Arabidopsis thaliana: one gene and its partner. Each later gene encodes a partner of the first gene's protein in a complex. Each region holds a gene or a part of one and is shown in the gene's direction. Other genes may lie near its edges.

What was found. Proteins that work in one complex are often made in the same cells at the same time.
Region 2: NYE1 (region 1) and PPH share a complex: the UniProt entries of both Arabidopsis thaliana proteins name them as parts of the SGR1-CCE-LHCII complex.

The regions. Positions count from the first base shown.
Region 1 is NC_003075.7:12,015,898-12,020,244, reverse strand, and holds NYE1 (non-yellowing 1), read left to right. Parts: upstream 1-1,601; 5' UTR 1,602-1,638; intron 1,639-1,710; 5' UTR 1,711-2,275; coding exon 2,276-2,416; intron 2,417-2,533; coding exon 2,534-2,707; intron 2,708-2,901; coding exon 2,902-3,069; intron 3,070-3,145; coding exon 3,146-3,469; 3' UTR 3,470-3,782; downstream 3,783-4,347. Other genes in the region: PYR4 (pyrimidin 4), read right to left, coding at 1-134, 250-431, 624-772, 901-930. UniProt on the Arabidopsis thaliana protein: Magnesium chelatase involved in chlorophyll a degradation in the chlorophyll-protein complexes of photosystem I (PSI) and photosystem II (PSII). Contributes to the degradation of PSI and PSII in the thylakoid membranes.
Region 2 is NC_003076.8:4,451,210-4,456,757, reverse strand, and holds PPH (pheophytinase), read left to right. Parts: upstream 1-2,049; 5' UTR 2,050-2,246; intron 2,247-2,397; 5' UTR 2,398-2,450; coding exon 2,451-2,510; intron 2,511-2,607; coding exon 2,608-3,243; intron 3,244-3,586; coding exon 3,587-3,813; intron 3,814-3,913; coding exon 3,914-4,105; intron 4,106-4,204; coding exon 4,205-4,361; coding exon of another isoform or gene 4,362-4,367; exon of another isoform or gene 4,368-4,443; coding exon 4,444-4,695; 3' UTR 4,696-5,023; downstream 5,024-5,548. Other genes in the region: AT5G13810 (Glutaredoxin family protein), read right to left, coding at 165-989. UniProt on the Arabidopsis thaliana protein: Alpha/beta hydrolase dephytylating specifically the Mg-free chlorophyll pigment (pheophytin), yielding pheophorbide. No activity on chlorophyll. Belongs to the chlorophyll catabolic enzymes (CCEs).

The DNA.
Region 1 (4,347 bases):
CAAAGGCATGTTTTGTTTGACCATCTCTTCTAGTACCGGTAAGCATTTTCCAAAGAGATCCGTGACACCATCTTGAGAGTTGGTTGTTGCTCCGGCAGGGTACAGCTTCACCGCATAAACCACACCACTTTCCCCTAATAACAAGATCATATATGCATAAACTGAACATTAGCAAGTAGAATCTCAATCAGAAAGATGAAAATGTATCTGATTAGTTTGCAACAAGATGGAGAAAGCACAGGTACTTACTTGCAAGCCTGATCTCTTCAGGTAGAGTTTTGTCAGTCAAATAAAGTGTCATAAGTGGATCAAAGCTACTCTCAGATGGCAAAGCTTTCATGATAAATTTCCGGTAAATAATGGCAGCTGCAGTGGAGGTGACAGGAGGCTTCAGATTCGGCATCACAATCGCTCTCTTAAAATTACTCGCACTGCACATAATTACATACACCATTAACCATCATGTACAGCACAAGCATCAACGCCAGCACAAGATTGTGATTGAGGAATTCATACATAACAAACAATGGTTCCACAAGAAACACCAATAGCAAACAAAAAAGTGGCTGCAAAACAAAGTAAAGCAAGGAAAGAAAAGAAAGATTGCAGGATGTTTATAAGACCTGTGGGGAACAACAGCATGAAGAAGATCACCGTCACGGAGATGAAGATGCCAATCATCAGGTTGAGTGATTGTGAGCTCCATTCTTACTGCTCTCGTCTTCACTTTCTCAGAAGATCTGTCAAACTTCAACTTCTGAGATCCAAATCCCTACATAAAGAATAAAATAGTTGACTTTAACAGACGCATAGGAGGAATTAAATAAAATTAAAACTGGATCACGTGGATTGAACTAAACAAGAATAAGACTCAAAGAGTGGTGGAGGTAGAGTACATACACTATAAGGAGAGACCAAAGTCTTTATCATCTGAAAGCTGCTCAAGGCTTTGCAAGAATTCACCTGTTCCAAAGCAAATGACAAGTAGACTCAGATTCTATAACATGACCTTAAAAAATTGACTCTGTTCTAAAGTATTAGCAGGCACTAAAACTATTCAATCATCATCAAAAGATTTCGCATTCCTTTGGTTCAATGTTTCTCCAAACGAAATTTAGTATCCAGATTAATCAAATTTCTATACACACAAATGGGTATCAGCAAAATCCAAAGAAATCAAATTATCCAAACAATAAACCACAAAATGGCGAAACTGGTAAACACCTAGAAACCAAAATCGAAAACTTGAACTTGTTTAGGTAAGCAATACGAACCTGGATAAACGAAATGCACAACAGGGATGCTTACAACACAAACAAAACGAACCCCAAAAAGAGTGATTTGAGGAAGAGATTGAAGGAGAAAGAAGAAGAAAAAACAGTACTCGTGTTTTGTTGTTTACAAGATACGACGTCGCTTAACGTAAAAGAAGAAGAAAAAAATAAAAGCTCTGTAACAGGCCAGCCCAATTTTAGCCCGATATTTTTAATGGACCTGGACCTGATCACAAATTTCAGCCCTTTTTAACATCCTTATGGATCAACATGGGACTCTCTGACTCCTCCGGTTCCATCAATACCTGCGTTTGTTGTCCTTGTTCACGACGATTCAAGCGAAGAAGCCTCTCGAGTTTCACAGGTCTAATAACTAAACCGAGTAATCGAGTCGAATGACATTAAATTGAACCGAAACTAAACCGTATTGCTTTAGGTTCGACTGACAACTACAGTACGTGAGTTAGGTTCGGTTAGAGCCGAATCTGTGTCTCTTTGTCGCAACGAGATGGCTAAAGTTATCCAAAAAGACGGTTAGAGCCAGTTGTTAGCCCCACCATGACGACACATGGGGAAGCTCATGCAAAGATTAGAGAACACGTGGCACTCTCTCGTGTTCAGAAAAATTCCAAAAGAGTGTTCAGATTTGGGCACGGAAGTGTGAAACGTGAAGCAACAATCCCTTTTAAACACAAGAACCAACTCAATACGCATCACAAAGAACCCTAAATTCCTGGAAGATCTCAAAAGGAAAATTCAAAACCAAAGCTTCAAGCAATCATCAAGCAAAGGAAAAGCTCAAATTTTGGGTCTTTTATATATTTATTTCTTAAAGTTACAATCTTTTTGATTGTGGTTTCAGTGTACGAACACGCAAGAACTCGCGTGAAAAAATTGTATCCAAGCTTCGTGAAAGGAGTCTCTCTGTATTTAGTGGCGTTTTGTTCTGTTGTTATTTCTGAAATATTGAAGCTTTTGATTTGGGTTTCAAGAGAGCAGAGATGTGTAGTTTGTCGGCGATTATGTTGTTACCAACGAAGCTGAAACCAGCTTATTCAGACAAACGGAGTAACAGTAGCAGCAGCAGCTCACTCTTCTTCAACAATAGAAGATCCAAGAAGAAGAACCAATCGATTGTTCCCGTAAGGATTTGTTCTCTTAATCATTTTGACATATCTTTGTTTTATGTGTCTCAGTTATGGATATATCTATGCCTCTGTCTTTATTGATGGAACTTGAAACTTTTGGGATCGGTGCAGGTTGCAAGGTTGTTTGGACCGGCGATTTTCGAATCATCCAAATTGAAAGTACTCTTCTTAGGGGTTGATGAGAAGAAGCATCCTTCAACGCTCCCTAGGACTTACACACTCACTCACAGTGACATTACAGCTAAACTAACCTTAGCTATTTCTCAATCCATAAACAACTCTCAGGTAAAAACACCTCTCTCTCTGGTCTTAACATATCTACATGGCTCTGTTTATAGGAGTAGAATGTTTATGTATTTGATTATTTGGAGCAAATATTAGAGGCTTATGTATGATTGTTTTAACCTATGTATGTGTCTATATTCACCAGAATCTCTTAACACTTTAGAGGCTGATATGTATAGAAATGTTTTTTATAGTTGCAAGGATGGGCAAATAGGCTATACCGGGATGAAGTTGTGGCAGAATGGAAGAAAGTGAAAGGGAAAATGTCGCTTCACGTTCATTGTCACATAAGCGGTGGCCATTTCCTTTTAGATCTCTTTGCAAAGTTTCGATATTTCATCTTTTGCAAAGAACTACCTGTGGTAAGTTCCCAAATTCATAAGAAACTTTTTATTGGTTTCATGTAAAACAAAATGTTTATTGTTTTGATATATACAGGTGTTGAAGGCTTTTGTGCATGGAGATGGGAACTTGTTGAACAACTATCCTGAGCTACAAGAAGCTCTTGTTTGGGTCTATTTCCATTCTAATGTCAATGAGTTCAACAAAGTCGAGTGTTGGGGTCCGCTTTGGGAAGCTGTTTCGCCTGATGGTCACAAGACTGAGACTCTTCCCGAGGCTCGGTGTGCGGACGAGTGTAGTTGTTGTTTTCCAACCGTTAGCTCGATTCCATGGTCTCATAGTCTTAGTAATGAAGGTGTAAATGGTTACTCTGGGACTCAGACTGAGGGAATTGCTACTCCAAATCCGGAGAAACTCTAGTGACTAAATATCAAATTACAAGTTTTTCTTTTGGTAGTTTGTACAAAGTGAAAAGGAAATGGCAGGACTTTCCTTTTGGTGGATCTAAATATTGGTTTGGTTTGGTGTACATAATGTGGTATAGGAAAATAATGATTATTTGTAGGTTAAATACAGATTTTAAAGTTTCAAATGGTATTTTGTGTCTACTCTGAAGTCTTTATCATAGTTGTATACTTGTATTGTATCTCATCCACAAGATCAAAATGTAAATTTCTTACAGATTAGCTAATATTAAAGGTGACAGACTGGTATAGTACTACTGCAATGCAAACATAAAGATGAATAAATTGTTGTTTAATGAACATATATATTTTAATATATCAAAACATTCATGAGAATCATCACCAATTTAAAGTTATACTAATATCCCAAATAAGAATAGTTTAGAAATATGAAGATATTCATGAGAATCATCACCAAAGTAACAATAGACGTATATTAAGGACCGAATTCGTCGGTGTAACGGTGAGAAACTAAGGAGAAACGTGAAGGTAAAGAGATGGCAAAAGACTTTGTCTCTCTGGTGGTTTTGCAAAGCGTATCAGCCACTTCTTGCTCCTAATGATTCCAAATTATTTTCTTGGATTTATTTGGTCTCTTTCTTCAATATCTTTTTCATTTTATAACCAAATCAAGATGACTTTTTTTCTCTGACCCCATTCGTCTATCTAATTTACGACCAAATACACCAAATACAGAAAGAGAAGAAGAACAAGTAATATAAGAGAATGGTAACGAATTATTGCATTATTATCATGGGCTTATTTTATAAAATGTTGTGTTCGTAAGTAAATAAATACAAAAGAAACTATATTTTGATATATGAAGAAAAATTG
Region 2 (5,548 bases), on another chromosome or scaffold:
TAAAAAACCCAAAGTGAAATGCTGCTGATCCAAAAGAGATTTTCGGATACTTGTGGCAGCATCATTCACTGTTCTACACAACAATGGAAACATCAAAAGAGAAATAAATACCTCTTTTTTCTTCTTTTTTTTAATGGTTTTTTCAGGTTCATTGATGATATATCTCAAGAAGAGCAATCAGGACAACGTATCAATCCATTCTCATTGCATTCAGGACATCTCTTGACCCTATCTTCATCCTCATCAAACAGTTTCTTGCTGCCACTACAATTGGAACACGGAACAAATCGAATGTCCCCACAGCAATGGCAAACAAACCCTGGTTGTCTCATTGGAAACTCTTTAAGAATCTTAGCAAGCTCACCAATCTCAAACAAACTCTTGATCACATCAGCACCACCAACATACTTGCCCATAATGAAAACTTGAGGCAAAGACACAGACTTCTCTCCCATTGCAATCTGCAACTCTTTCCTATAAGCGATATCCATGGAGACGTCGCGCTCATCGATCCAAACCCGAAACCCTCTAAATATCATTCTGACAGCATAGCAATCCTCATACGTCCGTCTAATCCCTCTCAAGCTAGTAAAATACACCACAATCCTGTCCTCTGTCCCGGGAAGACGGATGACCGAGTTGTTTAAGCTCGAAAAAGGCGATATCCGCGATTCGGGTAAAAGGGATTTACCGGATTTCTGCTTCTGAGGAATCTCAGCTAAGGCAGGTTTAACGGGTTTGGAAGTCTCGAATAATCTACAAAGGTTTTTGACTTTGCCTTTAAGAGAAGTTCCCATCGATTCTACGGGGGTGTAGAATTTGGTAATGGAGGTGGTACGATTGAGAGAAGGATTGAGATTGTGGGATTTGGGGCCCGAATCCACCACTGTTCTTCCGTGAATTGTAAGCGACCTGTTGAAGAACGACGTCGTTGTAGCCGATTTCGTCGTCTTCCCTGAGAAATCAGCGTTTTTCTCTAATCCCGCCATCGAAATTAGATCAAAGAAGCACCCCTTTCGACGGCTAATTTGGTGTAAAACCTAAAATAGTCAACAAAATCAAAACCCTAGGATCAAATTCAAGCAAATTGACGAATACAGAAAGAGAAATTGAAAAACATAAATTGAATAATCGTCGATCACCTCCCAAGGAAGAAATGGAAATTGGAATGATTGGAAAAGAATCAGCTTCTCTGATTTGAGTCGTAAAACGATCGGGTGCTGCGTTTTTGAGCTGATGAATTCTCACCTAAGATTAAAGAAGACGAGATTGATGAAAGAATGATCTGATTTTTCTGGAAATTTGGGGGTTTGTTTGTGTTTTGGAAGAAGATGTGGAGGAGAGCTCCGAATTAGCCTTTTGTCTGTCTGCCTTTGTTGCAAAGCAAAGAATTTTTCTGTTTTTTTTTTAAAGATATAATTATTATGTCTAAGTTATTAAAGGCTCTTTAATGATATATTTACTCGATGCTCCTTCGAGGAAAAACGAATTTGAAAAAATAACAAAAGTGGGATTAAATTGCGAGGAAAAGTCGTTTACTGGTAAAACGCGGTTGTCTTATTAAGAAAGGTTATGGTTACAGCGAAACCAGTTTCTACGGTCGGTTTATTGCTATTGATTCTACGCTCGGTTTAGAGATAGTTGTCTGTATTCTAATTGAAGAGTAGTGTATTTCGCTTTCTAGTCTTCGACCATTAGGATTTTTAGTTCACACAAGATCAATTCTCTAACATTTAAAATCAACTAGAAAACTCAAATAACACCGTTAAAATAGTGATTAAACCATTCAAAAATTAAACGGGTTTTATATTGTTTGATATGAAAACTGCAGGTTTTTCGATTGTTTTTTTTGTTTTCCGATTGTTACACAATGGAAAAGAAGATCAAAAATCAATTGTTTTTAAAAAAAATATTATTCTGTCATATTTTTGCAACAAACATGTGTTTTTGCAATGTTACATCGGTGTCAAATTAGCAATGTCAGATCCAAAACAAAATGTCATATTGTGAAAAAAATAACCCTACACTTAATAATACAGTATGAATTTTGGATCCTTTAAGAAAAAATAAAAACTCGATAAAAACGTTGCTGTCGGTTTGCACCGAACGATTGAAGTTAACCAAGCCAGCAAGCAACCCAATTCTTCTATTTCTTCTTCACCTTTAGATTTTTCCTCGCTTAATTTCTCAATAACGCTCTCAGAGAGACCATTTGATGAAGCTTCTCGCTTCTGGAATTTGAAAAGGTACAAGTTGCAACTCTCTCTTTTCTTTCTTTTCTTCCTGGGTTTATTATATAGCTGGAGTTCTTTGTCGATGAATCGGGTGGTGTTGTTGTTGTTTGGTTTCAATTTGATAGAAGATTGGCTTGACCTTGATTTGCTTTGTTTTGATTAGGATTTGATAAGACGAGTTCATAGAAGATTACCGCAAGTTCATCAACTTTTTGTATGTGGTTTCAGCTTTTGAAGCAAAATTCTGATAACTATACAAAGATTCCAGCTTCATATGTGATTTTCCTTGTTATTCTTAGCTTTGCTATGAAGTTGAGATATATGAGTGGAAAATTCGTATTAAAGGATATGCCTTTTGGTTGTTCATTTGCAGGAACTTGTTATGGAGATAATCTCACTGAACGTTGTGCCCCAGTGCTCTGTGGTTACTTGGAGTAGTAAATTAGCAACGAAAAGATTGGTCCCAAATCGGTCAAGTTTGTTATTCTCAGGGGTCAAAAAATCCAGACTTGTGATTCGAAGTGGAAATTCCGATGGTTATGTTGTTGGTGAGAATGATGACTTGGGTCGTATAGCCAGAAGAGGAGAATCAACGTCAAAGGTTTTGATTCCTGGTTTGCCTGATGAATCAAATGGTGAAATTGCTGCTCGAATCAGTCATTCTCACTGCGAGTGGAAGCCCAAGCTTAGAGTACATTATGAGAAAGCCGGTTGTGACAATCTCGATGCTCCTGCGGTGTTGTTTCTTCCTGGCTTTGGCGTTGGTTCATTTCACTATGAGAAGCAGCTTACCGATTTGGGAAGGGATTATCGAGTATGGGCTATTGATTTTCTTGGACAGGGTTTATCTCTCCCTACTGAAGATCCTACTACCATGACTGAAGAAACCAGTTCCTCGGAAGATAAGGAACCATTTTGGGGATTTGGTGACAAAACTGAACCGTGGGCTGATCAACTTGTATTCTCTCTGGATCTCTGGAGGGATCAAGTTCAGTATTTTGTAGAAGAGGTTAGCAATATCTGAGTTCAGTTGTTCTATTACTCTTTAAGCTGTTGATTTTGTTCTTTTAGTCGTAATTTCAAAAGCAGTGTGTTAGCTTTTTTTTTTTAGTGTAGATTGTTGCTATGTGTCGTATACTCATGGATTTCAATAGTTTTCAGCTCAGAACCTGAAAGTGTGGGTATGGAGTCTTCTGGTGTTGCTTTGGGAATGGGAAAGTTTAGGATGCACTAGATATTAGAATTCATCTCTGTTCTTTGATTCCGTTTGTGTTCTAGTTTGAGATCACGATCTTTTTCATCTGAAATAAGCTGCTGAGTCGGTAAGAGTATGTGGTATTTGTGTTGTACAGGTTATCGGTGAGCCTGTGTACATTGCAGGGAACTCACTTGGAGGGTATGTAGCTCTCTACTTTGCAGCAACCCATCCTCACCTGGTTAAGGGTGTTACCTTGCTTAATGCAACACCTTTCTGGGGTTTCTTCCCTAATCCAGTAAGATCCCCAAAGCTAGCACGTCTCTTTCCATGGCCCGGAGCATTCCCTCTGCCGGAAAGAGTGAAAAAAATCACAGAATTGGTGTAAGGGAGACTTTATTAACACATCTCCTCACCTGAAAAGTATCATTTTCTATTTCTATCTCTATCAGTCTAATATCTTTACTTCCCAATGAAACTGCAGGTGGCAAAAGATAAGTGATCCTGAAAGCATAGCTGAGATACTTAAACAGGTCTACACAGACCATTCTATCAATGTGGATAAAGTATTCTCACGTATTGTGGAGGTCACACAGCATCCGGCTGCTGCAGCATCGTTTGCTTCAATCATGCTTGCTCCTGGTGGAGAGCTATCTTTCTCCGAAGCTTTATCTAGGTATAAGACAGTGTGGTTTCTTGTTTTTATATGTTTTTTACTCTGCGTGATTGGTGTTATTGCTTATGAGGAATGCTGCTATTTGATGGTTTATGCTAGGTGTAAGGAAAACAATGTTCAGATATGTCTCATGTATGGAAGAGAAGATCCATGGGTGAGACCGTTATGGGGAAAGAAGATAAAGAAGGAAATCCCCAACGCTCCATACTACGAGATCAGCCCAGCGGGTCACTGCCCACACGATGAAGTCCCTGAGGTATAATGAACTAGTCAATAAATTCTTCAAACTCTGCAATTAGGTATAATGAACCCACCATTTGGGATATGAAAACGAGCAGGTGGTGAACTATCTGATGCGCGGGTGGATCAAGCACCTGGAGTCTGGTGGTTTTGAAGCGCTCCCGCTTTTGGAGGACACTGAAGAAGATTGGGAGGAGTCCAGGATTGGTAGAGAAATTGAGTTCCCGAGAGATGGTTGGAAAAAAGCAGTGAATCTGTGGTTATATGGGTCAAACTATACGTACTGGAGAGGAGTTAGAGAATCTTTCAGATCCAGTTTTATAAGGGTGTTTGGAGGGAAGTCTGCATAGAAGAAGCATGGAACAGTCGTCTAGTGTAAATTAATTGTAATCTATGTTGCATCCGATGCTAGCTATATAATGTTGTCTGTAGAATCAAGTTTCTAAAATGTTCAAAAGGAAAAGTTAGAAAAATATCTACTTGATAGTTAGTCACCTAAATCGAAGGAACTCCTTTCTTGCATTGTTGTATATAATCCACAGGTTCAGATTAATATAGGAAGGCGACATTGCAGGCCATATGAGTTGTCTTAAAAATTGGAAGAGAGCTTGAAATTACTCTGATTCCAAAAGAAGAAAGTGAGTGTATTTGAATTGTTAATAATTTCCAAAGGTGAACAGTTTTATTGAACATGTATGGTGTTTGAAAAGACGTATCATTGGTTACTTTTCTCGAGGCAAAGTCGTATCCTTGACCATATTCTTCCCTTAGCTTGAATCTCATTTTTGTCAGTTCCACGGTCAACAAATAAGGGACTGAATTAGAAGGCTATCCAAACCACTTTTGAGAAACTTACTTACACAGGCTATATATCCAACATGAGATTTGGTCTGCTTCTTTTCTTAATTTGTTTCTTAGTCTCTGATAAAATCTCGTTATCTATTTATTGATTTGAGTGTCAAAAAAAAAAAACCGGTGTTACAAAGCTGCTACTAAAGTGTCGTTCTACACTAGTTGTAAGAAATTACTTCTCAGTATGTTTTTTTATCTCTCACTAGTTGATAACATAATGGTAACCATCAAACAATGCTAGTTGTTGCAATTTTATTCTTGGGGGTACTTTGAAATTGTTTCTAATTGTTGCTCTGAACTTTTTTTTATTTTTATGTCGGTCAACATTGTTGGTCTGATTTATGTCTTACA